Linked DNA regions of Canis lupus familiaris. The protein of the gene in region 6 purifies or fractionates together with the protein of the main gene of each other region. This does not show direct contact. Links are inferred from orthologs where the notes say so. Each region holds a gene or a part of one and is shown on either strand. Other genes may lie near its edges.

Evidence for each region.
Region 1: the proteins of ESR2 (region 6) and COPG2 purify together in Homo sapiens (affinity purification with mass spectrometry; 3 studies listed by BioGRID and IntAct, with this or other methods). This does not show direct contact. The link is inferred for Canis lupus familiaris from reciprocal best matches to the Homo sapiens genes ESR2 and COPG2.
Region 2: the proteins of ESR2 (region 6) and SRSF5 purify together in Homo sapiens (affinity purification with mass spectrometry; 3 studies listed by BioGRID and IntAct, with this or other methods). This does not show direct contact. The link is inferred for Canis lupus familiaris from reciprocal best matches to the Homo sapiens genes ESR2 and SRSF5.
Region 3: the proteins of ESR2 (region 6) and MRPS9 purify together in Homo sapiens (affinity purification with mass spectrometry; 3 studies listed by BioGRID and IntAct, with this or other methods). This does not show direct contact. The link is inferred for Canis lupus familiaris from reciprocal best matches to the Homo sapiens genes ESR2 and MRPS9.
Region 4: the proteins of ESR2 (region 6) and PRMT5 purify together in Homo sapiens (affinity purification with mass spectrometry; 3 studies listed by BioGRID and IntAct, with this or other methods). This does not show direct contact. The link is inferred for Canis lupus familiaris from reciprocal best matches to the Homo sapiens genes ESR2 and PRMT5.
Region 5: the proteins of ESR2 (region 6) and NUP205 purify together in Homo sapiens (affinity purification with mass spectrometry; 3 studies listed by BioGRID and IntAct, with this or other methods). This does not show direct contact. The link is inferred for Canis lupus familiaris from reciprocal best matches to the Homo sapiens genes ESR2 and NUP205.
Region 7: the proteins of ESR2 (region 6) and COPB2 purify together in Homo sapiens (affinity purification with mass spectrometry; 3 studies listed by BioGRID and IntAct, with this or other methods). This does not show direct contact. The link is inferred for Canis lupus familiaris from reciprocal best matches to the Homo sapiens genes ESR2 and COPB2.

Annotation. Positions count from the first base shown.
Region 1 is NC_049235.1:6,177,851-6,181,935, forward strand, and holds the start of COPG2 (coatomer subunit gamma-2), read left to right. Parts: upstream 1-1,285; 5' UTR 1,286-1,383; coding exon 1,384-1,420; intron 1,421-2,663; coding exon 2,664-2,716; intron 2,717-2,944; exon of another isoform or gene 2,945-3,153; intron 3,154-3,283; coding exon 3,284-3,364; intron 3,365-4,085. Other genes in the region: TSGA13 (testis-specific gene 13 protein), read left to right, coding at 676-842. UniProt on the Homo sapiens protein: The coatomer is a cytosolic protein complex that binds to dilysine motifs and reversibly associates with Golgi non-clathrin-coated vesicles, which further mediate biosynthetic protein transport from the ER, via the Golgi up to the trans Golgi network.
Region 2 is NC_049229.1:43,788,910-43,792,907, forward strand, and holds the start of SRSF5 (serine/arginine-rich splicing factor 5), read left to right. Parts: upstream 1-1,198; 5' UTR 1,199-1,357; exon of another isoform or gene 1,358-1,486; intron 1,487-2,111; exon of another isoform or gene 2,112-2,164; intron 2,165-2,263; 5' UTR 2,264-2,282; coding exon 2,283-2,408; intron 2,409-2,691; coding exon 2,692-2,762; intron 2,763-2,894; coding exon 2,895-2,993; intron 2,994-3,299; coding exon 3,300-3,369; intron 3,370-3,998. UniProt on the Homo sapiens protein: Plays a role in constitutive splicing and can modulate the selection of alternative splice sites.
Region 3 is NC_049231.1:39,419,176-39,423,299, reverse strand, and holds the start of MRPS9 (28S ribosomal protein S9, mitochondrial), read left to right. Parts: upstream 1-1,324; 5' UTR 1,325-1,930; coding exon 1,931-2,065; intron 2,066-4,124.
Region 4 is NC_049229.1:3,377,654-3,381,878, forward strand, and holds the start of PRMT5 (protein arginine N-methyltransferase 5), read right to left. Parts: upstream 2,801-4,225; 5' UTR 2,669-2,800; coding exon 2,559-2,668; exon of another isoform or gene 2,532-2,558; coding exon of another isoform or gene 2,473-2,531; intron 1,877-2,472; coding exon 1,758-1,876; intron 1,478-1,757; coding exon 1,362-1,477; intron 1,198-1,361; coding exon 1,063-1,197; intron 677-1,062; coding exon 564-676; intron 400-563; coding exon 350-399; intron 1-349. UniProt on the Homo sapiens protein: Arginine methyltransferase that can both catalyze the formation of omega-N monomethylarginine (MMA) and symmetrical dimethylarginine (sDMA), with a preference for the formation of MMA.
Region 5 is NC_049237.1:12,272,354-12,275,847, reverse strand, and holds part of NUP205 (nuclear pore complex protein Nup205), read left to right. Parts: intron 1-1,530; coding exon 1,531-1,697; intron 1,698-3,244; coding exon 3,245-3,368; intron 3,369-3,494. UniProt on the Homo sapiens protein: Plays a role in the nuclear pore complex (NPC) assembly and/or maintenance. May anchor NUP62 and other nucleoporins, but not NUP153 and TPR, to the NPC.
Region 6 is NC_049229.1:38,955,645-38,959,144, reverse strand, and holds part of ESR2 (estrogen receptor beta), read left to right. Parts: intron 1-288; coding exon 289-588; intron 589-3,349; coding exon 3,350-3,488; intron 3,489-3,500.
Region 7 is NC_049244.1:36,080,286-36,083,785, reverse strand, and holds part of COPB2 (coatomer subunit beta'), read left to right. Parts: intron 1-289; coding exon 290-432; intron 433-865; coding exon 866-1,065; intron 1,066-2,569; coding exon 2,570-2,680; intron 2,681-3,500. UniProt on the Homo sapiens protein: The coatomer is a cytosolic protein complex that binds to dilysine motifs and reversibly associates with Golgi non-clathrin-coated vesicles, which further mediate biosynthetic protein transport from the ER, via the Golgi up to the trans Golgi network.

The DNA.
Region 1 (4,085 bases), on a different chromosome or scaffold from region 6:
ACTGCCAGCAAACCCTCGTTCTGCCAATAGCCAGTCACGTTCCACGTTTGCCAGGCAACCAAAGAAAGAAAGATTACCCAGAGAATGTTGTAGATGGGGGCTGATTAGGGGGCCCTGGAAGAGATAGACGGTAGGGCTTGAACCAAGGTGATGGCAGTAGGAAGGAGCAAACAGATTCAAGAGATATTGGCAAGACATAATGCATCAAAAAAGTGTGGAGGGATGGAAGCAAGAAGAGCCCACGGTGGAAGCTTCCAAGTACAGGCAGAGGTTAAAAGAGAATCTGGATCAAGTGATGACACTGAAGCCAAAGGTAGAAACAGTTTCTTAGTTACACTCTCAGACGGGAGAACCTGAAAGCCACACACACTTTAGGAGAAGGCTACGAGGAGTATGAATGCGCCTTATTGAGAGTTCTCTAAGTGTCAACGTGCTTGCAGGTGGGATCGTTGGAAAGGGGTGGGATGACACCGGGAAGCCTCTCTGAACTGGCAGGGTTTTGATGAACGGAAGGAATCCAGAAGTGTGAAGAAGCTTGGGCGCGGTAGTCCGTGGTCCAACATTTGCCCTCTTGTTCCGTCCCTCCAAGCGGGTCTCTTTCCTGCCTCCCACTGAGCGTCCTTCTCGACCCTCTGGAAACCCACCCTGACCAGGGGGCCCCGTGCTTTGTTGCAGTCGCCAAGTCAGGGAGTGACGTGCCGACCTCCGAGGCGGCCCGCGCACCGCCGAGCCTTTCCTCGCTCCCGAACCAGGAACCCGCCAGCCCTGTGCCCGGGGAGCGCGCCCGCCGCGACGGAAGGGCCCCGCAGCGGATCGTCAGGAAGGCCGCTGCCCTCCAGTGAAGGCGACCCTCCCGGCCGCCGCCGCCTCCCCAGGCTCGGGGGCCGCACCAGGCGCCGTCCAGGGCGCGCAGACCAAATAAAACCGCATTGTGCTCGCTCCGGGCTGGCGCTGCGGCTCGCCGGCCGGCGGGTGCGCCCCCCCGTGGGCCCCCGCCCCGCGCCCCCGCCCCCCCGTGGGCCCCCGCCCCGCGCCCCCCCGCCCCGCGACCCCCCGTGGGCCCCCGCCCCGCGCCCCCCCGCCCCGCGCCCCCCCCGTGGGCCCCCGCCCCGCCCCGCCCCGCCCCGCAGGGGCCGCGACGCACCCCGGGGGCCCAGCGCCGGCCCCGCCTCCGCGCGGCTGCGGGCGGGGCGAGGGCGTGGCCGCGGCCCCGGGGGACGGGCGCGGCCGCCACAGCCGGGAGGGCGGGCCTTCTCCCCGAGTGACGGGACGGCGACCCAACCGGCGCCGGGGCGCGGGGCCGGCCTTCCTGCAGCCTCTTCCGCTCGCGGCTGCGGCGCCTGGACGGTTGCGGTGGGTCTGGGCGCTGGGAAGTCGTCCAAGATGATTAAAAAATTCGACAAGAAGGACGAGGAGTCTGGTACGCGCTGGGCTGCCGACGCCCACCCTCGGCCGCGGGGCCCCTTCCCCGCCCGCCGCCACCTGCTCCCGGGGGCCGCGGACCCGCAGGCGTGGGCGCCCGGTGCGCCAGGGGGCCGGAGCTGGAGCCCGCCCCTCCCTCTCTCCCTCCCTCCCTCCCTCCCTCCGCCGGCCCCGCTCGGCTCCGCTCGGCCCCGCTCGGCCCCGCTCGGCTCCGCTCGGCTGCAGCCCGGGGCCTGCCCCTAGCCCCTCCCCCGGCCTCGGAGCCTCCCCTCGGGTCGCGCGCCCCGCGCCCGCCCCCGCCCCCGCGCCCGCCCCCGGGCGCAGCCCCTCGGAGCCGCCTCCGCCTCCGCCTCCGCCTCCGCCTCCGCCGCGCCGCGGGGGGGGGCGGGGGGTGCTCCAGGCCGAGGAGGCGGGCCCGCGGCGCGGCGAGGGGCGGGTGCACGCGCGCTGGGGGCGCCGGAGGTGGTCCGCCGGGACCGAGTGTGCGCGTGTGTGTGCGCGTGGGTGTGCGCGTGTGTGTGCGCGCGCGCGCGTGTATGAACCTGGAAGCGCCTTGGCCCTTCCAGCCTGCCCGAGGACCTTAGCTGTGTCCGCCTCCCAGGGGATTACGACTGGCCCACGGTACGGAGGATGCTCGAGTGGCGTTCTCGAGACCCAACTTTGATCCAGAGCGAGTGGGGAAGATGCCAAGCCACCTAAAAACACCCCCCCCCCGCCCAACCCCCCAACTCCCAAAGCACAAGCCCTCAGTGTTTGGTTCGGCTCTCCCATGGTGTGGTGGACGTTTGGGTTTAGTAAATCTCCATGGCCCCTTCCAGCTTGACAGCATTCTTGGCTATAAACTCTTTTCTGCCTCGAAGTAATTGTTGGAAACATGGAAGATAGCGCTTGTCTTTCAGGGAAATCCAAAAGGGTCCTACCACAGTCTCATTAATCTTAGCTGTGTGAACATAACATAGGCTCGCAACAGTCCCATAAAAAGAGGACAAGGAAAGAAGACACTCTTTTTGGGCAGGGATCGTGCAAAAGAGAAGTGCAAGATCCTCAGTAACTAGCAACGACAGCTAGTACCAGAATCCATATGATTTTATTCAGTTCATATGTGTATTAGTAACGCTTGTCACTGTGCTATCCAAGTGGTCGCTTCATCTAGGTGAGATATCCCAAGCATTCAGTACCCTTCTGTAGACAGTAAGTTTGTCTTGGACAGCTATTGAAGACATTTTTTGTTTATGATATAGGTAGTGGCTCCAATCCTTTTCGGCATCTGGAGAAGAGTGCTGTCTTACAGGAGGTATGACTTGGAAGTATATTGTGTTCTTTCTTTCTATTCCATTTTGGAATGGTGGGCAGAGAGCCTCCGGAATATGATGACCCGAAATAAGAATTGAAGGATGTAATAATTGTGTTCGGAAAATACAGACCTGAGGGAAGAGGAAGAGGGGTTAACTTACCATAGGAGGGTCTAGAGCTTACAGAAACGCAAAACTGTGTAGACACTCTGCCACATGTTGATAATTTTAAGTAAAATGCCAAAGAGATGTTTAGCACAAGGTTACTGAAGGAAGTTAAAGATATTAAGCTAATTATATTCAGATGATATAGATAAATATTACGATTCTTAACACACATAACGCCCATAAAGTTGAAGTACTAGATGTAAGGGAAGGAGTTAGTATAGACGGAATATAAAGACCAAAGTGTATCGTATACTGTGATAAATTGAAAACTGTAAGCAACTAACATTATGTGGATGTTGTGATCAAAATATGTAATAGTCTATTTGATTAAAGTTGATCTTTTGTAATATGATAGAAATGACAGAAAACATGCTGTTTAAAAATGTTTTTCGTTCCCACAGGCTCGCATATTCAATGAAACACCCATCAATCCAAGAAGATGTTTGCATATTCTTACAAAGATTCTTTACTTACTGAACCAAGTAAGCTATTTTGATTTTCCTCAGATTTGTTTCCTGGAAAAGAAATACATAACATTCAGTGAAGTACTTTTTGGAAAGTATAGTTAATTTCTTAAAATTCACTCAATTTAAAAGTATATAGTGTTTGATTAAGGTGATGATATGTAAAACTTCTTGAGGACAAGGATTATGACATATATTTCTGTTTTATTCATGAGGTACTAGACCAGCTAAGCACATAATAGATTATCAACATTGATTTGAATTTAACAAGTATTAATGTTAAAACATGTTTAGATTTGTTCAGCGGTCTTTATGTCCCTCCAAAAATACAGTACAAAATCTTGGACAAATCCCAGATATTTTACTTTTTTTTTAAGGGGGAGGAGTATAATAGTGATGTTTTTCAAGCTTTGATTTTAATGCTTAGGTTTTATATTTATTATTCCTACTGTACCAAGCCAGGTGATATGATTCTGAGCTTAACCATTTTGGGCCTTAATGTCCTAGAAAAGGACTATAGAAAATATATTGAGGATTATGATAATACCTGTTTTATAGAGTTGTAATGATTCCACAAGATAATGAACGTAAAGCTCTGAGAATAATCCTGGATGTACACATTCAGGAGTAGTTTTCATTCAGTCATTCGGCAGATATTTATAATACACCTACTGATTCTTTTTTAAAAAGATTTTATTTATTTATTCAAGACAGACACAGAGAGAGAGAGAGAGAGAGA
Region 2 (3,998 bases), about 4.8 Mb from region 6:
ATTCACAATTTTGCTGTACCTACTGTGGCTCCACCTAAAATAAACAAATGTGTAGGGGCACCTGGGTGGCTCAGTTCATGATCCTGAGATCCAGCCCAAGCTCCCTGCTCAGTGGGGGATCTGCTTCTACCTTTCCTTCAGCCTGTCCTCCCTTGTGCGCTCTCCCAAATAAATAAAATCTTTTTTTAAAAAATGTATAAATGGACAAGCTCATTCCATACAAACTATCCAAATTCTAACCTAGAATTTCTAAGGGCTGGGAGGTCAGAGTAAGGGTCAGTAGCACTGCTGCTTCTTGAACTACTTTATCTCTGTGTAATTTTAGTTGCAAGCAGCAACCCTAGACGCTATAGGTACCTCTGAAAAATGGGGTGCCTTGGAGTCCTCCTAAGAGCATTCAAGAAAAGGAAGCTTTTCACAATCATTCTTTACGCCTGAATTGCTACCTTGCTAGGAAATGCGGCGTCAAGGATGCGGAAGGCTGTTTCACCCTCATTTTGAAAACACGGTCTTTTTGTCGCTGAGGAATGGTATACTTTTATGCGTTACAGTACAGAACCGTGACCGGGGAGGGTTAACCAAACACCACCCGGACTTTTAAAGTAGTTTGAAACCTCTTGCAACCAGCTCAGCTCCAGGACAGAAATCTGCATTCTGGCTTCAATTCCAGATGGCCTGCTAGCTGCAGTCCCAATTTCAAGCATTTCATCATGCAAGAATTATTTATTTATGTATTTATTTATTATCTAAGCAGGAACCTTCCATTTTAAAAAAATACTGCAGTTCTTCAGTCTTCTTAGTATAAAGCACAGGGCCGTGGCACGACCGCAAGAAGCAAGGGGTCAGAGAGGGCCAAGCATTTTTGCAAAGCCCGAGCTTCCTTCACCCAGTACTACTCTTCGGGGTGTCTCAAAAAAATATTCAGCTAAAAAAAAGGAGTGTCATCTGCTCTAGCGTTATCAGTGACGAACAGCACTTGGCGGCCTACTTGCAGCAAACACCAACCTCGGCCCTTCCAGCGCCGGGCACCTGACGGCCGCACCAGACGCCAATCCCCGCCCCTCGGCCCCGCCCCTCGCGGGTGCAGGTCGCCGCGGCGGTCCCCGTGAAGGAGCCCCGGCCCCGCGTAAACTTCCGGCCCCGCGGAAATTTCCCTCCCCGGGTCCTACGGGGAGGGCCCAGGGGCGGTCCCGGAAGTGACGCAGGGGCGCGCCCTCCATTTTGTGGAAGGCAGGAGCAGCTAAGTGCGTCAGTTGTGGAGAGGCGTAGACGATTTTAGTCCGGGTCTGCGGGGAGGCAGACAGCTCCGTCGCAGACTACGGACCTCTCTGGTCTCAGCTGCCAAAGATCCTGTCCGGTAGGTGAGTGGCTCACTTTGAGGGAAAGGCTTCTCGGATCGAGGCTTCTTCATGGCCGCTCAGATCGCGAGTGGCCAGGGCTGCTCTCTTTGCGGAGGACGGCGTCCAATGAGCGCAGTTTATTCGAGGTGGGCGCTGGGGCACGTCTCCCTTTGGGTGTCGTTTGAGGGGGAACCGAAGGTGGAAGGGCGGTCCTGGTTCTGGTGGTTGCTACACAGGGGTAGTGTGCCCCTCCCCGTCTCCTTACCTCTTCACTACCCGAACCCCCCCGAGTATCGGGCCGAGACCTTTGCTCGGGGTGCGGTCAGGGCCTTCTGCGGGCGGGCACATGACTCCGGAACTGTGGAGTCCGGGGAGGGGGGAGGGAGAAGGGAGAAGGGCGTTTGGCACGCGCGGCTGTCCCCACCGCTGGCTCCGCCGCCGCCATTTTGTGGCTGCCAGCGTCCGCCCGCCGCCGTCTGCGCAGGCGCGGCGGTGGCGTCGCGAGATTCCGGCTTCCACCCGCTGTGACGTTCCTGGGAGGCGGCGACGCGCGCGCGGCCAGTCGCCATTGGGCTGGCCTTGCGAAGGGCGGGGTCGGCTCCGCCCGCACTTCTCGGCCTTTCCTAACTGCGGCAGATGGGAGGGGGCCAGAAGAGCCGGGGAGAGAGTGCGGCTGCGCAGTTCCAGAGGCGGCAGTGGGCGTTGCGGTTGCTGCGGTCTGGGCCCAGGGAAGGATCGTGTTGGGAGCCGAGTTTTAATTTTGTCTGCAAGGGACCTGGCCTAATAAGAGGCACTCTTGGCAATCTTGTTTATAACATCACCGGGTAAACATTTTATTTTATGCCGTTTATGTTTTTGACCCCTTGACCAGGCATTCTTTCGACATTCACTGGTATTGTCTCGATTGAATTATTTTGTAACAGAAAATAATAGCCGGACACCATGAGCGGCTGTCGAGTATTCATCGGGAGGCTAAATCCAGCGGCCAGGGAGAAAGACGTGGAAAGATTCTTCAAGGGGTATGGACGAATAAGAGATATTGATCTGAAAAGAGGCTTTGGGTTTGTGGTAAGTATTGACCGTTGGTGGTTTAGAACTACTGTTAAGTCGGTAAAGATCTTGATAAGTAGTGTCTTGATTTCCACTGAAGTTCAGGTAGAGTATTTTTAAGGGATAAAAGAACCTCGCTGTTGGAGGGAAACCACTCCTGATCACTTCTCAGTTCAACTTGTGTACGTGGCACTGTTCTTAAGATACTCAATCCTGCCACACGCTTTTAGTGATTTTTAGTATGTTGTAGAACACGCTTTAGAGCCACGTTAAGCACTGTTTTTTCATGTTTACGTATTAGGAATTTGAGGATCCCAGGGATGCGGATGATGCTGTATATGAACTTGATGGAAAAGAACTCTGCAGTGAAAGGTGAGAAAGTTAGTTTTGTGTAACTATTTAGGACTGTAAGATAGACTATGTCAGCTAGGTTATTTCAAAGTAGATCTCACGTGGACTGGGTGGATAATAAAGCTTTTTTTTTTTCCCCCCCCCTCCCTGTAGGGTTACTATTGAACATGCTAGGGCTCGGTCTCGAGGTGGACGAGGTAGAGGACGCTATTCTGACCGTTTTAGTAGTCGCAGACCTCGAAATGATAGACGGTATGTGATGGATGGTGTATGGTTGCTTTGAACAATCATTACTGCAGGAGGAGTTTTTAATGCTTAAGAACCATTAGCAATAAATAGGTGACTCTGAAACTTACCGTGTAATCATTTCTATTATTCTTATGTTGGTCCACTGTTCCTGATTAACGTGTGTAGTAAGTTGTATAAGTAATTCAGAAGCTTGATGGAAGTCATTCGAATGACTTGTTCTTTCTGATTGCTTGAACTTGCCCACAGTCGAACACAGTAGGTACATACTGCTGCATTTCTTCCATTGTGAGTACTCATTTTCTTCCTCAGAAATGCTCCACCTGTAAGAACAGAAAATCGGCTTATAGTTGAGAATTTATCTTCAAGAGTCAGCTGGCAGGTTTGTTGAAACACAGTTTTGAGCTATTTTAATGTGGCTTTTTAAAAATTAATGGGTAGTTAATGTTTTATTATGTTTTATTAAAAGTAATTTTATATTTAATTAAATTAATGGATTTAATTGTAATTTTAAATTTTTAGTTAAATGTAATTGGGGGATATTTTCAAGTTTTAATATTAGTGATCAAATGTTTAATGTTTTGAGGATATTTTTTCTTGTTTTTTAAAATCAATTTTAACCAAATATTAAACCCTTTATTTGCCAGCCTATCTGTGTCGTTGGCCTTATGACGAGGAGTGCCTGTGGGTTATCCTAATCGTTGTCTTGGTCACTCTTGGTTGGGCCTGGTTGACTTTGCCAGTCAGCTCCTACAGTGATCAATTGGCCACCTCTAGATCTGTGTTTGCCGGTCTAGACGTAATCGGTGCACTTACTTGAAGTGCCAGGTTGCAGCGATCCCAGAGCGTTGATAACGTGATCTGATCCCTAAGTTGAGAGCTGTCTTCCTGTAACGCTTCCGAATAAGAGGTCCTGGTCGAAAAGAGTTGAAAGATACGAAATTAGGTGGTCGTTGGAATCCTGATCGCAGTAAAGTGGTCCTTGGTAACTGCACAAGAGTAGAACATGTC
Region 3 (4,124 bases), on a different chromosome or scaffold from region 6:
CTTGTTGTTAGTTCAACATTTTGACTCTCCTGATATTTACCCAAAAGGCTGACCTTAGAACCAAACTCTCACATTAGATGTCACTCTACCGTATTGGACTTTGGGGATTTTATGATCCTCCTGCCTAGGAGACCTGATGTCTCTGACATAACAGGTGCTCAGTAAATGAGAGGAAAATAAAATGAGTCTAAGCTGTGGCTTTTTGGTAAAAGTAAATTTTTCTCATATTTTAAATGTCTATCAGCATGTTCTTGATTCCAATCTTTCCTCCTGACTTCAGATTATGTACCTAATGCCAACCTATAGTGGTATATTTTTTCCAAACTCAAAGTCTACACAGGAAATTTCATGCAGCCGTCCAAGTGTTGCCCCTAGAGGTAGGAAATATATTACACTCGTTTTACTGTAATCTAGTAAAAGCCTGTAACATGAATTTTAGAGAAAAGGAAAAAAGAAAAACCTCCAAAATTCCTAACCTTAATTTCAGAACTTACTTAGTTCTTATATATTCCAACATGTCATTTTTTTAAAAAGAAATAGTAAAAATCCCACTTTCACATACTTATTTGGTTGTTTTCCATTTAAATTTCCACAATTAAGTTAAAAACATTTTTGTGACAATGTATAGGAACCACTTTTTAAAGGCATCTATTTTATTTTTTTTAAGATTTTATTTATTCATTTGACACACAGAAGAGAAAACACAAGCAGAGGGAGAGGCAGGCAGAGGGAGAGGGAGAAGCAGGCTCCCCGCTGAGCAAGGAGCCTGATGTGGGGCTCCATCCCAAAATCCTGAGATCATGACCTGAGCCAACGTCCAACCAACTGAGCCACCCAGGCGCCCCTAAAGGCATCTATTTTGATGGGCTATAAAGTTTTGGTTCCCAAATGCTGGTCCGAGAACCTATGCCAATCTCTGATGAAAGTTTTACTAGCCTAAAAGATAAGTGACAGAACAACAGAATGAGCTTTTCAGTACAACGAAGTGAATTCCATTTAAAGGAACCCTTTTTCTTTCTTTTTTTTTTTTTCTGGGAATATGTCATCTCTACCTTTTTAATGACTAAATGTGTTTTAAGAAATGCTGGTGTATTCATTTGCTTGACAACTTTGTATTTGTGTTTTAATTTCACTTATCCTTCAATTCTAAGTGTTTGGAAATCCTTTCAGAGCGGCTTAGTGCATCACTTAAAGTGGATTTTGTAGACAGCACCTTGGGAGTTCCTCTCAAGAGCACACAAGGCTCAGAAACCAAGCTATACTCGTTTCTATTTCGTGACGGTGCATTTAATTCTGATCGGGTTTCAGCTAAGTCTGGGCGCTAACACACGGGAGGAGGCATGCAAACCTGGTAAGACTGTTTCATTCTCACCTGTGAGTGGTGTAGCCTGTGCGTTACACTGATACACGAGGGACATGTGAGCGCCGGGAAGGCTGCTGGAGGGGGTGCAGACCCTGGCTCCTGGAAACTGTGGAAAGGCAGAGAGAAGCGGAGACCCGTCGCTGAAAGACGCACAGGAGCCAAGGTTTGGAGTCCGTTCCTCGGTGAGCAAGGAGCGCAGCGTCGCTCGGGGCGCGCGAAGTCAGACCGCAGGAGTCGGGCGGGCGGGCGGCGCGGGTTCTGCAGTTGGACGTGCAGCACCCGGCAAGGGAAGGAAGGCCCACGGGAGAGTCGTTACTAAGACCTGGACGAGGACAGGCTTCAGCACCCGCAGGAGGAGACAGGGGCCGAGAGGGCGCCGCGGAGCGCCAGGGGGCGGAGTCGGGCCCGCCCCGCGGACTCACACACCCAACCAGCGACGAGCCGCCCCGACCGCGGGACACGCCCCCGCCCCTTCCCGACAGCCCCCGGAACCTAGCTCCCTCCGGCGCCTGCGCAGCCCTGAGGCCCCGCCCCCTCGCCCTCCCGCCTGGCCCTCCGGCGGCCAACATGGCGGCTCCCTGTGTGTCCTGCTACGCCGCACTTTCCTGCCGACTCTTTCTCGGAGGTAGGGTTAGCCTCTCCCAGAAACAAGGCGTCTGGAAAGCCGCAGCTGCGGAGTTGCAGACAGGTACCGGATCTCAGGTGAGGCAGAAGTGGATGCACGGGTCCGTGTAGCGCGAGGATGTGGAGCCGGCGCCGCTGCTTTCTCCTGGCGTCTCGCGTGCGCCCGGGCCGGGACTGAAAAGGGTCTGGGGTGTTTCGGAGAGGCCTGTGGTTGAGAGAGGAGGAGTGGGTGTTGGTTTGCAGCGGCCACTCGAGGTGGTTTCTGGGTTTTGCAGGGTGCAGTGAGGGAGGAAGTGTTCTGCAGACGGACCTAGAGCGACCCCCTTCCTTGAGTTGTCTGCGGAGCTAAGGGGAGTCGGTGCCCAGGTGTGTAGGGTCTGGAGCTCCCCGCTCGCCCTGCGGTCCATTCACCCGAGGAGGTGAAGGACTGGACTCCTGCAGTGGGCTGGAAGACTCAGTGGATAAAGTCACACAGTGGATAGGATTCATAGCGGCCTTAAAAGTGCCTTGCATCTGTGCGGCTTCTGTTTTCTTAATTTCCCCCAACGCCTGTTCTCCGGAGAGATGGAGACCAGAACTTGTACATTTCCTTTACTCCCCCGAGGGCGGTGAGAAGCCAGTATTCTAGCTTCACAGCTGTTTTGGTGATGCTGACTTGGGATCTCGAAAGGAGGGGAAAGTTTTGAGAGGGAAGAAAACGAGCTTAGTTTTGGATATAATTATAGTTATTATACAGTAATAATTGGGTTGTCCACGTGGAGATTTCCAGTAGGCCCAAAGATTGACAAGCTTATAGTTCAAGAAGAACTTCTCTACAAGCCCTCTGTCAACTTGTAGATGGTAATCGAGGCCTTGGAAGTGAATTCAAACACCTAATGATGGTGTACCGAATTGGAATGAGTAGAGGGACAGGGCCCTGAAGGACAACGGCGAAGAAGAGCCTCCCAGAGATTGAGAATGAAGTGCCAAAGAAACGGGGGAAACCAGTGTGGTGTCATGGAAAACAAGTGAATGTTTTAAGTAGGCAAAGTGATAAACAAGTACCAAATATTGTATAGAGGCCAAATATTATGATATAAAAACTATTGAAAAAAGGAATACTGTGTATTTTTAAACATCGTTTTTATATTTTAACCTAAATCGACCAGTCCATCTATTCTTTTATCCATCACTTATTTTTCATTCATTCTTTTTATTTTTTTTTTAAAGATTTTATTTGTTTATTTGTGAGAGAGAGAGTGTGTGTGCGCAAGTGCACAAGCATGGGGAGAGGCAAAGGTAGAAGGAGAAGCGGAAGCCTAAGCATTCTCCTGGCTCAGTGGGGAGCCCTACTCAGGGCTCATTCCCAGGATCCTGAGATCATGACCTGAGCTGAAACCAAGAGTCAGATAGATGTTTAAATGACTGAGGTATCCAAGTGCTCTTTACTACTTTTTTATTACAGAATACGTTGGAAGTTTTTATTTTTTTCATGCATCTCTTTTGAGTATATTTTCCCTATATATGCTTAGTTAGCTATAGCGTATGGAATGTTTTAATTGCTGACACTGTGTGTGTGTATGGGGGAAGGGGCTACTAATTTTCTCTCCCTCTCTCAACCTCCAGAATCTATGTATCCTTCTCTGTCTTTACGTTCTTTTTATCATAAGCATGCATCTATGTCAGTGCTAATAGTTGATGGCCATTTATTTTGTTTCCATTTTCTAACCATTAATAAAATGTTTAGTAAACATCCTGTAATAATTCTTAGGTACTTACATTGCTTTTATTTCTGTAGGAAAGTTGTGAGTTTATTGCTGCAAAGTGTGTGTACATCTTAAATTTTAAAAGATATTTCCACATAGCTTTCCAGGAAGGCTGTGGCAATCACACTCCATCATTGATGTATGAAAGTGCCCCCTTTTCAACTAGCATTAGGTATTTTTTTTTCAATAAGATGGTAAACAGTGATTCCTCCTTGCTTCTTTAATTTTCATCTCCCCGACTTGAAATAAAGCTTTTTTCCCCCTCCATATGGCAAATGTTTACTGAGCACTTTACTTGAGTCAGGCACTGTGAAGTAAACAAATCATTATCAAATAATTACCAGACAGTATTGACCCTTACCCTCTCCAGGGATGATCCTGAAACTGCTGCA
Region 4 (4,225 bases), about 36 Mb from region 6:
TATCAAGGAATCCCTCCTCCTGGGAACCAAGAGGAAGTTTTTCAAAACTAGAAGGGTGCTCCCCGCCATCCCTCCCAGTATCAATCTAGCTTTGGAGATATTCTATTAGTGACATATGCCCTTGCCCCAAAACAACAAGTGTTCTGTGTGCTAACAACATAGCTTTTTTAAAAAATAAAATTCTGCATTTTTATAAAAATTGATAAAGTAATATCTCAAACTGTAAAGTCACCAGAAGTACACCGTTATCAAAAATGCACACACTTCATCTGGCATCTCTGAAACCCCTGATTCTTATTCACAGGAGGTCAGAGAAGGGAAACCTATCCCAGGGCCCTTGTAGACTTACCCACTGCAATCCTCTTGCTATAGTCACACAAGGTCCTGAAGTTGTGCCACCTGTTCAGGGTGAAATACAGGAAGAAAAAAAAAAAAAAAACAGTCAAATACATATGCCCACCAATCGCCATAGCTAGAGAAGACCCCCACACACACAACAGGCTCTACCCTATACTTCCCCTCCCCGTACCCTTTGCCCTGTATAGCAGCAAAAGGAGACATACCACATCCATGTCTTCTCCTCTCCACTATACTCCTCTGTATGTGTACTTGGTGCATTCTCAATTATATCATCTCTCAGGTCCTCTGGAGCCACCAAGGGTACCCGCATCCAGAACTGCATGTGAACAAGTACCCTATTTAGAACTCTATTTTGAACTCATTGGGTCCAGAAAGCTTCCTTCAATTATCTTGATCCAGATTGCAAGTTAACCCTTTTATATGTTTTTCCCAAGTTCTGATTATATGTACATATAAACTTATCTTGTGTATATCCATATGTAAATATCTGCCCTGTCCTTTATTGCAGCCATAAGTTTCTAGAAATAATTGTACATTCTATGTTTTCTAACCCTCTGCTTACCACTTTTAGATGGTGGTGGCCAGTACTGACATTTCAGTTCTGCCAACTGCACCGTTTACTGAATGGCTAGGAACAAGAAGGTACCTAGCACAGCTTGACTACCATAATATTCAGCAGAAAAAGAAGCCCTCAAGCCATACCATGGACGAGTGGTGGCCAGTGTGGATGTGGTTGGTCAAAACCCTGGCCAAGTTTGTGTTATCTTCCTGATTTAGGGGCAACAGGAAAGCTGGAAGACCCAAATATGCCCCAAAATTCAGCTCCTGTAACATTGCCTGGAAATGGAGATCAAGAAGACATGAAGAGTTAGCAACCCAAATAGGTTTAATTGCATTATATTAGATTTACTAAGTTATGGGAGGAAAAAAACTGCTCTCTGCACCCAGCTAGGTTATGGACCTGATCTCTAGAAAGAGCCAGTGAAGTCAAACAGTCTTACCGCCTCAGAGTTCCTGCGGATCTTCTCCACTTTTGAGTCTGGACGAATCCATGGAGAAAGCTTTCCCACAATTAGCGTATTCCAGTCTGCACTCCCCCCATCCAAGAAAGACAAAACTATATGAGGTTCAGTGCTTTACTTGTTCAATTTCTAATTCTTAACAGGGAATAGAGAGTAGAGATGAGAAACAAAGACTTTTTCTATCACAGATGTGGGATAGCCTGATGCAGAATAGAGTAAGGCTTTTTAGCAGGTAAGCAAGGAGAAAACAAGAGTTATCTATGTCCCAGGACTAACCAATATATCCAAGTCAGGAAAGGAGGAGAATGAGGGCACTGTTAAAGCAGAAGTTGTTATTGCCTCTAATAATTAAGGGGCATATGGGATGGTCCCTACCCCTTCCTGACAGCAGTAGGTCTGATCGTGTCTGGGGGCCCGGCCGATTCTTAGCAGGTTCCTGAGTGAACTCCCTCTTGAAACGCGGGTGGAAGACAGGCATGCAGAGGAAATCAAACCTACAACCGCGACAGACCCAGAATCGTCATGTAAAGAGAGCAGCAGTGCCCAGAGATCCAAGCAACTGGATTAGGCTATCTCAATTCTGCACAACCCTTTCTGCTGCCATCAGTCACCCGACTGGACTGCTGAGTTCAGCCTGCCTTGGGGCATGTTACTTCCGCTGCACTGTGCCTCAGTTTCTCCCCAAAACACAAGCATGGAAAAGGAAAAAAGATAAAAATCCACGCCAAGTGGCTTTTCTACTCTGTTGTCACCGGTTTTCCAAGACTGTCACATCCAGATTTGCCTCAGTACCGCCCATGCTTCCCCCCAAGGTTTCTCTTCTCTCCCTAGCCCCTAACACTCTCTCCCATTCTCAGACTATAATCCCGCTCTCCAGGGCCCTGGAGGTCTGTAGTCCTCTTTTTGAGTTTACCTGACAACTCCCCTGACTTTGGGGCTCAGTGGCCACACGCCCCAGCAAGTTTTTTTGTTTGTTTTTCTTTGTTTGTTTGTTTGTTTGTTTCACGCTCCAGGGCCTAAGGCTTCCCCATCCTCCCCCAAGGAGTAATGGTTTCTCCCGCCCTAATCTTACCCACTCCGACCCCCTCACCCCTGCCTTTCGGGGATGACTAGTCTGTCCCTCTTCGTCCCCGAGTTCGGAGCCCGCATTCCGCTTGCGGAGGTCTGGACCCTCACCCCTGCTTGGCCACAGCCCCCAAAGTGTCAGCTATTTCGGGCACGCAGTTCAGGTCCCTCCCGCTGGACACGCGGCTCCCACCGGCACCTCCGACCGCCATCGCCGCCATCTTTTCCCTCGCGCCGTCCACGCCGGGATGCCTTGATATTAGCAGCCAATCACAAAGCCAGAAAAAAGCCCCCGGAAGGCGGAATGAGTCGTCCTAACAACCAGAGCGTCTGCCACTGCTCCAGAGCGGGAGGCCGAGGGGTGGGGAGTGGCTCTTTCCGCCAATCCGCTGGCTGCGCCCGTGACGTACGACGTGGCTCCGTAAGATCCACCAATCTCGGGATGTAGTTTTCGACGAACTTCAATCTCCCATGATGCGCCTGTGTTCGTAGAACTCCGTTGGGGGACTACGCGTCCCATGAAACCCTGCAGCATAAGCTTGAACTATCATCACTGAGCCGAGAGCAATTGTCTCCGGGCCAGTGGCGCAATGGATAACGCGTCTGACTACGGATCAGAAGATTCCAGGTTCGACTCCTGGCTGGCTCGAGTGAGACCGGTGGTTTCCTTATTGCACCTCACGCAACATGGCCTTAGATAGCGTCTTTTAGGTCTACCCCTTTCCTTACACTTTGGGAAGTTTGCTTCGTAACTTTTCACACCTTCATTTTTCAAGTCTTATTTTGGTTGAGTTCTGCAGCCATCTTATGTCGGCTTTTCCTGTTACCTAATTCAGAGATGGTTCTTGTGTCACTGCTCGGGTCCGTCTAAACTGAGAGAACTGAGTTAATGGCTGCTGCTCTTAAAATGGGCTTTGTATGGACCTTAGTGTATTTACAAATAGATTATGACAACTAAGCCACTAATTCCTCAGGTTCTATATCTCAGACACAAAAGGTACACACGCGCGCGCGCGCACACACAACACTCATGGTGAGGAGTCATGAACTGCCTGGAGGAGGGCTGGGAAAACATATCTACATTCTTGTAGAGGCGTGGAACGGAAGGAGAGGAATGAAGCAAGGAAAAACACGGAGAGAAAGGGAATACCTGGAAGCAGGCAGCCCAGAGGTGTTGAGGGCCTGGCAGCGGGGATCGAAAGAGAACACATTACAGAAGGCCCGAAGAAAGCGGCATTGACAGAACTGAGGGGCTGCTAGGCAGGGAGCCACAAGAAAGAGGAGTCTCGGTTCTGGCCTCTCTGTGAGTGAAACAAGAAAGAAAAGTGGGTTAAGGGACAATCAGTTCGGCTTGCAAATGCTGAATTAATTGGACGCCTAGGGGGCGCTGTGTAATAGAGAGTTGGATGAACAGTGTTATGACCTGATGAGATTTGGAAATGGCCAGAAGAGAGGTAGCGACCTCGAAGTAAAGAGTGACCTAGACTGAATGAGATCATCCGGGCCAGTCAGGGACAAGGTCCTTGGAAACACGGAAACGGTGTGGATAGGATAAGAGCCCTGGGTGCAATGTAAGAGCTCCAGAAGGATGAAAGTCCAAAAAGCCAAACAACGAAGAAAATGCTTATGAAGCCTAATGGGGTTGTCTCATCTTAATCTTCAGTTGATTTTTGCAGATATTACTACAACAACAACTATTATTACTAGACTTTATTTCTTAAAACAGTTTTAGATTTACAGAAAAACTGCAGGTAGAATGCGGAGTTTCCATCTGCCTC
Region 5 (3,494 bases), on a different chromosome or scaffold from region 6:
GTAATTGAGGATTAAGTTGCTGTGATTAAAATAAGCTCTAGATGGCTCCAGTGAAATGCAGCTCTTTTCTTTATGTGTAATTAGTGGGAAAATTTGTCAATGACTTTAAGAAAGATCAGTAAGGAGGTACTGGTGTCAGTCCTGTGGATAGGTTAGAGAGCTCAAGAGGACAGAGAAATTCAAGATTTTCTAAGGATAAATTTCAAAGAGCTTTGGGTTTGAATAGTATTTGAGACCCCAAAGAAAGTATCTAAGATGGGCAAGTAAACTAGCTGGGTGAAAAATGTACAAACATAACAGACGGTTTATGCGTAAGATCATGTTAAGCTGAAGGTAGTGTCTGAATTGGGTCTCGTAGTATAGCTCCAAATTTCTGTATCACAGCAAAGTAAAGTGTGGATGCTAAGTAAACTGACATAGTCTGTGATTTCCTAAGGACCCAGTAGGTGAGATCTGGAATGTGAGGGTTGTGGGTTGATGAAAGCTGTTATCCCATGGGACCCTCAGAAGACAGTCTATTCGGATGTTAGTGGTGCTTGCTCTGTGATTTTTCTGCAAATCATTTTGTCACATTTTCATCTTCAAGATCTTATTTTCCCTGAAAATTGCTTAATCACATAAAAGATTTAGTAGGATGGTGTTATTAAAGTATATTAGTTTAACAGTATCTAACCACTGTTTCATGTAAATGGTGCCAGGAACTAACAACTCTGTGCAACTCCATTATAAAGTGTCCAAGGGGCTCCGTTCTTCCCCCTTGAATCTTTTTTTTTTTTTTTTTAAGATTTTATTTATTTATTCATGAGAGACAGAGAGAGAGAGGCAGAGACACAGGCAGAGGGAGAAGCAGGCTCCATGCCAGGAGCCTGATATGGGAGTTGATCCCGGGTCTCCAGGATCATGCCCTGGGCTGAAGGCAGCGCTAAAGCGCTGAGCCACTGGGGCTGCCCCGAATCTAACATTTTAAAACAAGTTAAGTTGAGCCTGATCATAACATTTTCAAATGAAATTATAGTTTTGTCATTTATTCTTCAAAAACATTAATAATCATCACTAACAATTAAAATTTCACTTGCTTTCTTTTCACTTTGAGCCTGTCTTTCACATACTAGGCCATTCTCCGATCTTTAATACTTGATGAACTTTATGAAGCCTAATATATATTGGTCTTTATTCTTCCTTAGACTCTTTAAAGATTTAATCAGCAAACTTAACCTTTGCCAGTCGTAGACACAGGAGGGGGTGGGTTTGTGGTAGATTCAGGAATATTCATTTGTAGAGAAGCAGTTTAAGCTAGCAGTTAAGAACAGAGACTGATGATGAACTGCCTAGATTTGAGTCCCAGATCACCATGGCACTTCACCACTCCTCTGAACTGTCAGAAGTATTTAAAAGTAGTTGTGGGTTGGTTTTAATAATAGTTTACATGCCCTTCAGTTCTGGGCATCCCTTGTTTTAAAACAGGTCATTTGAAATTCATTTAATATTCTTGTAAGTGGAACATTCTGTTTTTATTATCAACTCTATTAGATACCCAAGCTCCAGTGATTCCATATTGGCGCCTGCCAGGTTTGGGCATTATTGTCTACCTGCTGAAACAGAGCGCTAATGATTTCTTCAGCTATTATGACAGTCACCGACGGAGTGTCAACAAGCTACAGAATGTAGAGCAGCTTCCACCAGATGAGATAAAAGAGGTATGAATCTTATAATGAGCCATGGAGATTTTGGAGAATCCTTGCTTTTCCTAATGACCAAAATATTGGTGTCCGACTTGTGTGTAAAGATGATGTATGCAGTGATAAAAGGGCTTGAAATGATGCCTCTGTGTGGTTTGAAGAAGAGTCCTCCCCGTAGCACCACACCTGGTAATCAGGGCAACACTTGAATGGAAGATGGTGAAGTGCATCTGTTCAGGAACACCACCTGCTACCCTTCAGTAGAACGGCAGCTGGCTTTTGAAGTAGAGTTTTGGTAATTCATACTCTGAAATCTGTGCTGAGAAACCTGGGTTTCTGTTGCAGATGCTTATTCAGTAGAAGTGATCCCTTAAGTAAGAGGTCTCTGTGTCTTCAGCATCTTCAGTATCTGTTTAGAGAATTTTTCAGACAAATGGGATAGCATATAAGACTTGACTGCCTGCCCTCAGTGACCCAGAATCATTCACCGATATTGTAGCTAAAGATACTGAGTCGCTAGGCTTACATCCTAAGTAGCCACTTTCTCTCCCATCCGGCACAGCTGAATGACACAAGGCATACCCTGGCCGGTGCTGAAGCTCCCTGGTGGCCCGTGGCAGCCTAGATGTGGAGCCATTTTGCCATTCCTCCTTTGCACCAACTGTCCTGAAAAGCTCCGCATTACTCTTCAGAGTAGTCAAAACCTCCTCCCTCTTGCCTGCTTCCAGCAATCATAGGGAGCAGTTGGTGGGTGTTTCTGATGTGCCAGACAAGTTCTGTTGCAATACATGAGGCAGATAGTGTAGCCACTCCTATTTTCTCAGATGAGGAAGTGGAGGCCCTGGAAGTTTGAATAATTTACCCAAAGCCACACAGCTAGCAGGTCCTGAGGCGGGAGTTACTGATGAGGTTCTAGTAATCCCTGAAGTGGGGGGCTTTACATCTGGCAGCCCTTCCCCAACACGCGTAGCTTACGGGTGACACCAGCACTCGCCAGAGAAACGGCAGCCTTCCTGGCAAGTGTGCGGTGCCCTCCCAGCCCCACTTCAGTTTGCCTTCTGTCCAACCCAGCAGCTGAATTTTGAATCGGACCGCAGTGCTTATGCCAAACAGAGGTGTGATGAAAGGAGGTTCTGGTTGATGAGCCTATTTTAGTTAATGCTGTAGAAATCGGCTTTTACATTTTCTTCAGAAGATACATGACAGCTGTTACAGAAAATCTCCATGGCGTTGTTAGACCCACGGCCTGAAAAACCTACTGTTGAATTTTGTTTTAGTTTGACAAGAGATTCAGGGTTGGTCGGCCCCTCAGCAGATTGGAAACATCTGTTACAGAGATAAGACCTTTTGCAGAAATCGGCAGAGGAGTCTTCATTTGTGAATTCCACTACTTTGGCTCTCGGTTTTATAAAGTTACCAGCTTCCTAACCAGATGATAACTCTCATCTGCAGGAATGTTTAAACTTCTTTGTTTTTTTGCAGGGCCTGTCATAAGTGACCCTCTCTTCATGAAGTTTCTGTTAGTTTATGTAATCGCTAATCCTGCGTTTGTTTCTGATTCTCAGTTGTGTCAGTCTGTGATGCCTGTTGGTGTTGAGAAAATCTCTACTGCCCAGAAATATGTTCTAGCAAGACGGCGTTTGGTGAAGTTGATCAATAATCGAGCCAAACTGCTTTCCCTCTGTTCTTGTATCCTTAATGAAGTCACAGTGGGAACTTGAGTGGTGGTGACCTTTAAGAAAATCTTTAAATGCGGGAACTGTTTACTGATTCTCACACAGCAAAACTGTATAAAAGGGACATATTGGGACATGA
Region 6 (3,500 bases):
TTAGTGTCATAGATGATCTTGAAATGGGAGACCTTAAGTTCATCTAAGCTATTGTTCCTAAAAATTCATGTTTTGATTTTGTTAAAATAGTCACAGATGTAATAATCTTTGGTACGTGCCCTGCAGGTTCCAAGAATAAGTCAGGCTTCTGTTCTGAGATACATTGTGAGGATAGACTCAGGTCTTACAGTGAAGTCATTACCTCACTCTTGCCCTCCCAATCCAGGGAACTTGAATATTGGGTTGGGGAAGCCACAGGAAAATACTGTTATCATCTTTCCGGTTTAGGCTCCCGGAGAGAAAGGTGTGGGTACCGTGTTATGCGAAGGCAGAAGAGTTCCGATGAGCAGCTGCACTGCCTGAGCAAAGCCAAGAAAAATGGTGGCCACGTGACCCGAGTGAAGGAGCTGCTGCTGAGCGCCCTGAGCCCGGAGCAGCTGGTGCTCACGCTCCTGGAGGCCGAGCCGCCCCACGTGCTTGTGAGCCGCCCCAGCACGCCCTTCACCGAGGCCTCCATGATGATGTCCCTGACCAAGCTGGCCGACAAGGAACTCGTGCATATGATTGGCTGGGCCAAGAAAATTCCAGGTAGGGCTTTCTGGATCATAGCTTTTCATTTATGGTAGAAAGGCCTGCTGCCCCTGACATCTATAGGGCAAGAGTACAAAATGGATATCCACAAATGATATCTGGGTGTGTAACAGCTTTACATCCTGATTTATAATCTTTAAATGAAATATATTCTTTCTTCCTATCTTGACTTGTATGCCTTCAACATGTACTGGAAGGTCACGCTCCAATTTAGAATTTTTGGACTCCTCTTTTTCCCACGCCAGAACTATCCCACAGTGCCTTGTTCACACCCCATCTTCCGTGTCCACATCTCCTATACACACTAGCCTGTTGGACACCTCTTATGCCGAGATGTGGTCTGAGAGGGTGGACCCAAGAAGAAGCCCACTCAGCTCTGGGAGTGGGCTTGGGACCATTTGGGCAAAAAAATTCTAGGGTCCTGGGACCCGGAACATGGTCTAAAATGATGGAGTCTGGACTCCACATTGAGCTGTCTCTTGGCTGTGGACTCTGCACCTTGAGAGGAGGGGTGTGTGCAGGTGAAGGTGGGGTAGGGTGTCATATGACCAGTATGCAAGTGAGAGATTTGCCACATGTGAAATAGAAATGTATAAAATATCATTTCAATAGAGAAAGAATCAGTATTATGGATATAAATGAATATACATGGGCAAATAGAGTGAGTCAGCAGCTGGGATAGCATGAATCATCCATAAACCCAGAATGCCATTGTGTTAAAAATGCATTTGGTTGTTCAACAACAGTTGTCATTTAGCACCTGCATTTTCCCTTCTATGTCCCTTCCACAGGCCAGTTTGTAATATATGCCTGAGATACTGCGTTGTGCTAAAATTACCATCTAGTTATCATTTGAATTGGTGTTTCTGTGAAAAGGAATCTAGAATTCTAACACAGAATGGCACCAACCCATCCTCCTGAAAGGGCTTCTCCAGGCACATATTTACAATCATCTAAGAAATTAGGTCTCTCTCCAGGTTCTAGGCCACTAGGGACAATCCCCATGGCCTTGGGGCAGCAGCTGCTTTAGACAGGGTATACAGCCTGGGAGCCGCTGGAAAGCTGGATGAGAGCTGTGGATAAAGAGCGGTGGGACCCCAGGCCTGGTAGAATAGTATCTCTTGGGTCATTTGGTGGCTTGAACCTGTTCCTTCTGAGCTTCCTGAGGATCTTCTGGTTTCTAGTTTTGTTTTGATAGTCTGGATCTTCACCTTAGCCAGAATCATGTTATTTTCTCTGCTCTTTTTGTAGGAGACAATACCGACACATTCCTTGAGCTGTTGCTCTAATGTATATGCCAAACACTGTTTTTCAGGACCCCACGTGGTGATGAAATTGATGACTTTGAAAGCCATGCAGCTTCTTTGTGCTATAACCAAACTGAATTCTTGAGCTGCATTAGTCCCTCTTCAAGCCTGGTGTTTTAACATTTTTTTCAGAAAATAGTCTAAAGGTGTGCTTTTTCCCCCCTCTCTCTTAGCGGGTATAATTTAATTTCCCAAATTAAAAAAATAATAAAGTACCACCTATCTTGATCTTGTTAAATATCTGCAAATATAAGAAACCTAATCTCCCATGGGCAGGCTTCTTGTCTGGAACTGCAGGCAAGGTTGGAACGTGTACACATATGAGGCCAAGGGGCAGCTTTGGAAAAGGACTGAGCCATCTTCCCATTCATTACTCCTTTCAGCTTTCCTTTGTACCCTCTGGCATTATATTGTTCTCAGGCTTGAACCACATGTGCTTCCTGTGTCCTGGTCTCCTCATCTGTAAAAATGAGGATCCTGAGAGATGCTACCTGCAGGACATTCCCAGAGGGTAGGCATTGTCACTCTCACTTTTTTTCTGTAAGGAAATCAACTTAAACAGGGATTGAATAATTGGCTAGGAGGCTGAGCCGGGATCCTAACCAGAGTCCAGTGCACTCCTGGGCCACGTGTTTGATTAGTTTTATATTACACTGCCTTCTGTTTTATCATGGTTTGTGGGTAAAGCTCCAGTGATCTCTGCCTTACTTTGCTTTTAAGGTGCTCACCTCCCTAGAGATGACCTGTTTCTTTCCAATTTTTGGACCAATCCATCCAGGCTATCAGACTACTGGGACCTGCTTCGATTGTTAGATTTGCTTTTCAGGATAGAATAGCCTAGAGATAGCGCTCCTATTCAGAAGAATGATTCTAACCCTGAAACTTTAAGCAATCAGAGGTATTTTTCATTTGAAACCTTGACTTTCTGCAGGGGCTGGTGCTGTTCTCTCTGCATGTTCCACCCTCTTCATCCCCCAGCCCATAACACCCTCCATTCCATTCCCCCCACTCCGAGCCCATCCCTCTCTGCCCCCCCCCGCCCCCCAGCCTCTATTGTGGGCCAAACAGGCAGCCTTAAGCTGGCAGCTGATTATTTTTCTCAGCAATTCATAGGAATTTTAAAAATATAACTAAAGATGATCTGTTCCAGCTTTCTGTTCTCCCATAGCATTTGTCTGGGGAGCTATAAGCCCAGGTAACAGTCCTTTATAAATCCTGAATGGAATGTATTAGTCTCTAGGAGGCATCCAAGGCTGGACATTGTGAATTGCATACTTTGAATTTAAAATTTCCATCCTTCATCAGCATTGAACCACATCTTTAAAATGTTGAGTGTTTTCCCTATATCGTTTGTGTTTTCATAGTTTGTTAAAACTTGCTCTTCTGTTTTCACAGAAACGGGGAGTTGAGGAGGAGAGTGGGTATGTCTCATGGCCTCTTGCTTTCCCCAGGCTTTGTGGAGCTCAGCCTCTATGACCAAGTGCGCCTCCTGGAGAGCTGCTGGATGGAGGTGCTAATGGTGGGCCTCATGTGGCGCTCCATTGACCACCCGGGCAAGCTCATCTTTGCTCCAGACCTCGTTCTGGACAGGTGAGAAAAAAA
Region 7 (3,500 bases), on a different chromosome or scaffold from region 6:
GGATTATAGTGAAAAGAAAAGATCACATGTGTGTAAAGCATCTGCAGGTATATAGTAGGCAGTGTACCTAGGAAATTCATTATTTTACATGGAAAATCACATTTCTTAGTTTCTTAAAATTTTCTTCACTTATTTATGTTGCTTTATAAAATCACCTACAGACTAGACTATAGGTCAAAAAATTAAGCTACCAGGAAACTAATAAAGACTTCCCTGTGGCCGGTTCACCCAACACAGTTCATTGTTAGATGTTCAGATTAAAAGGGAGCATTCACATTGTTCTTTTTAGGAACCGTGCGTATTTGGCATTCCAGCACGTACCGCCTTGAGAGCACATTGAATTATGGAATGGAGAGGGTGTGGTGTGTGGCCAGTCTGAGAGGGTCCAACAATGTTGCTTTGGGCTATGATGAAGGGAGCATCATTGTGAAGGTAATCTCTAATTATACTCTCTGAATAAATGAACATAGTGGAAGAAGTTTTCCTTGTATTTTAGTACAATCATCTTCTAAGCCACCACTTTTATTAAACTGGCTCTTCTTTCATTAAGCATAAGAGAGTAAGTACTGGAGATTTATTTATTTATTTATTTTTTAATTTTTAAGGTATTTATTTATTTATGATAGTCACAGAGAGAGAGAGAGAGAGGCAGAGACACAGGCAGAGGGAGAAGCAGGCTCCATGCACCGGGAGCCCGACGTGGGATTCGATCCCGGGTCTCCAGGATCGCGCCCTGGGCCAAAGGCAGGCGCCAAACCGCTGCGCCATCCAGGGATCCCAGTACTGGAGATTTAAAGTGGAAAAAAGAAGCCTTCTGTTAAGTGAAAATAGAAATGTTTATTTTGTGGTTTTATCATTCTTCCAGCTTGGTCGGGAGGAACCTGCCATGTCCATGGATGCCAATGGAAAGATAATTTGGGCCAAGCATTCAGAAGTCCAGCAGGCCAACCTAAAAGCAATGGGAGATGCTGAAATTAAAGATGGAGAAAGACTGCCATTAGCAGTCAAGGACATGGGCAGTTGTGAAATATATCCCCAGACTATTCAGCACAATCCTAATGGACGGTAAGCCATAACCGGAATCTCCCTCTGAGCTTCTGTGTATGTTAGAGCAGTGTTTGCATATCCATAGTGTATACCACTCTTACTCTGTGGTGGGCATTCCTGATGAGCTTTGCCCTACCTAGCCTAACAATCCTCAACCCTCAACCCAGTTGGCAGGGAGCATGTCCATCGATCAAGTTGGCATGCAGGATGTAAGCATATTTACCTTCCTGGCTCTGTCCCACCACACAATTTTGAACAGTTAAATACTTTGTATTTATTCATTTTAAATGTGTGGGGTTTGTGTCTTTGTGCTCCTTCAAGGGCAGATACCATGTCTTCTCCTGAGACTCCTTAGGTGCTCTAAAAATTTGCTAACTTAGGAAGAAAAGCTGACTCTGAAGTATGTGTCCTTTGAAAAAATTGAGGGAATGGTAATAATTCTGCTTCTTATCTATACTTGAACCATCATTTTCATTTCTTATGATTTAGAAAGCACCGAACATCTTGTAAAAGAGTTTGAAGCATAGGTTTAAACCTGTGCGCCTTTAAAAGTTACTTTACAATAGATCTGGGTGTCTTATAATTCTGTGCTGGGTATTGAAAAAGATGAACTGTAAACCAAGTGTGCTGCCTTGTTCAGTAAATGGTATCCATCGTTACTTGTAATATAATTTTCTTAGGAAGATGAAAAACGCATTAAATTTTTTTCCCTTGATATCATAAAAAACACTTTTTTTTGTTCTAAGTTTTGCATTTTACCATTGGCAGTCTAATAGCAGCTAATACAATATTTTACAGAGAGTTTTATATCTTGAGAAAATTTCACTTGACTATATACAATATTCTATTTTCACTAATTAAATGTTAAAATATTCTGTTTATTTTGATGAACTTAACAGTCATTAAAAATGAGTATTTTTATTCATTCCAGTGATATGCTTTAAAATTAAGATAATCTTGCAACAAAGTAGCACCTTCTTATGGTATAAATGTAATGAATAAAGTGCTACTCATCTTGGTGCTCAACAAATATCAGTTGAGGGGTGACTGGGTGGCTCGGTCAGTTAAGTGTCTGACTTTGGACTTTGGCTCAGGTCACGATCTCAGGGTTGTGAGACTGGGCCCAAGTCGGGCTCTATATTGGGCATGGAGTCTGCTGAAGATTCTCCCTCTCCTGCCCTCCTGCCTCCCACCCCCAAATCTGCTGAATTATTAGAATCCTGGCCCCTGTGCATCTCCAGCCATTCTTTCTGCCTCAAGTCTCTTTTGTCTATATGAGAAGGCCACTGCAAGAAAGTTTTTAGCAAAACCTCATCTTCATAGTATGTTTTTGGATAGAATATGTATGGGTAGCTCTGTATTTGAAGAAATGCATAACTTTAAAAGATACCAGATTCAATAATAACAGTCAGCTGAAGTAGCATTTGTTATTAGAAGTATTTTATTATGAAGATGAAGCATTGTTTCATAACTTCCACATGTCACTGATCCTACTTCTCTCCCTGTCTTCCATAATTTGCAGGTTTGTTGTGGTGTGTGGCGATGGTGAGTATATTATCTACACAGCAATGGCGTTGAGAAACAAGAGCTTTGGATCTGCCCAGGAGTTTGCATGGGCCCATGATTCTTCAGAGTAAGTTTTGGCTTGGGGCTGTCCAGCTGGCACTGATTGCAGATGGGTGATTTGTGTGCGGCTATATGAAACATGTTCCAAAGCCTCGGTGTTGGCTATGCTTTTCCGTGTTCAAGGACAATTCTCATCAGAGCTGCCTTTGCCCTTTCTGTATTTGGTATTCAGCAAGCTCACTCAAGCTCATCTAATAATCCCATTAAACTGGGGGCCCAGCACCAGTTTCCTTAATAGAGCCTGTGGCAGGGCTTGGTGCTTCTGGGCTCAAGACAAAGTAGTCTCTCCTTGTGACCTGGCATCCTCAGGTACTGACTGTTAGGGTCCAGAGCTAGTTGGGAGAGACTACAATCTGATGTCATCTTGATGAGAACTTCATTGAATCTTTTTTCTGTGATGTTATCCAACCGCTGTTCTTAAAACAAATTCTGCCTGAATTTAGAGTACTTATAAAATATTCCCATTAAAAGCAGGAAAAATCTCTGAATTATCACACTAGGTACTAGTTATTTATAATTCTTTTTTTTTTTTTTTTTTTTTTATTTATGATAGTCACACACAGAGAGAGAGAGAGAGAGAGAGAGAGAGAGAGAGAGGCAGAAACACAGGCAGAAGGAGAAGCAGGCTCCATGCAGGGAGCCCAACGTGGGACTCGATCCCTGGTCCAGGATTTGGCCCAGGCTGAAGGCAGCGCTAAACCGCTGAGCCAACTGGGCCACCCGTGGCTTTGTTTTTTTCTGACGACACAACTGAATTACATCTTCAGTTTTCTTAGCTTTGTTTCCTCCATATTTTGTATTGCCCCTGTCCTCAACACCAAGTAACC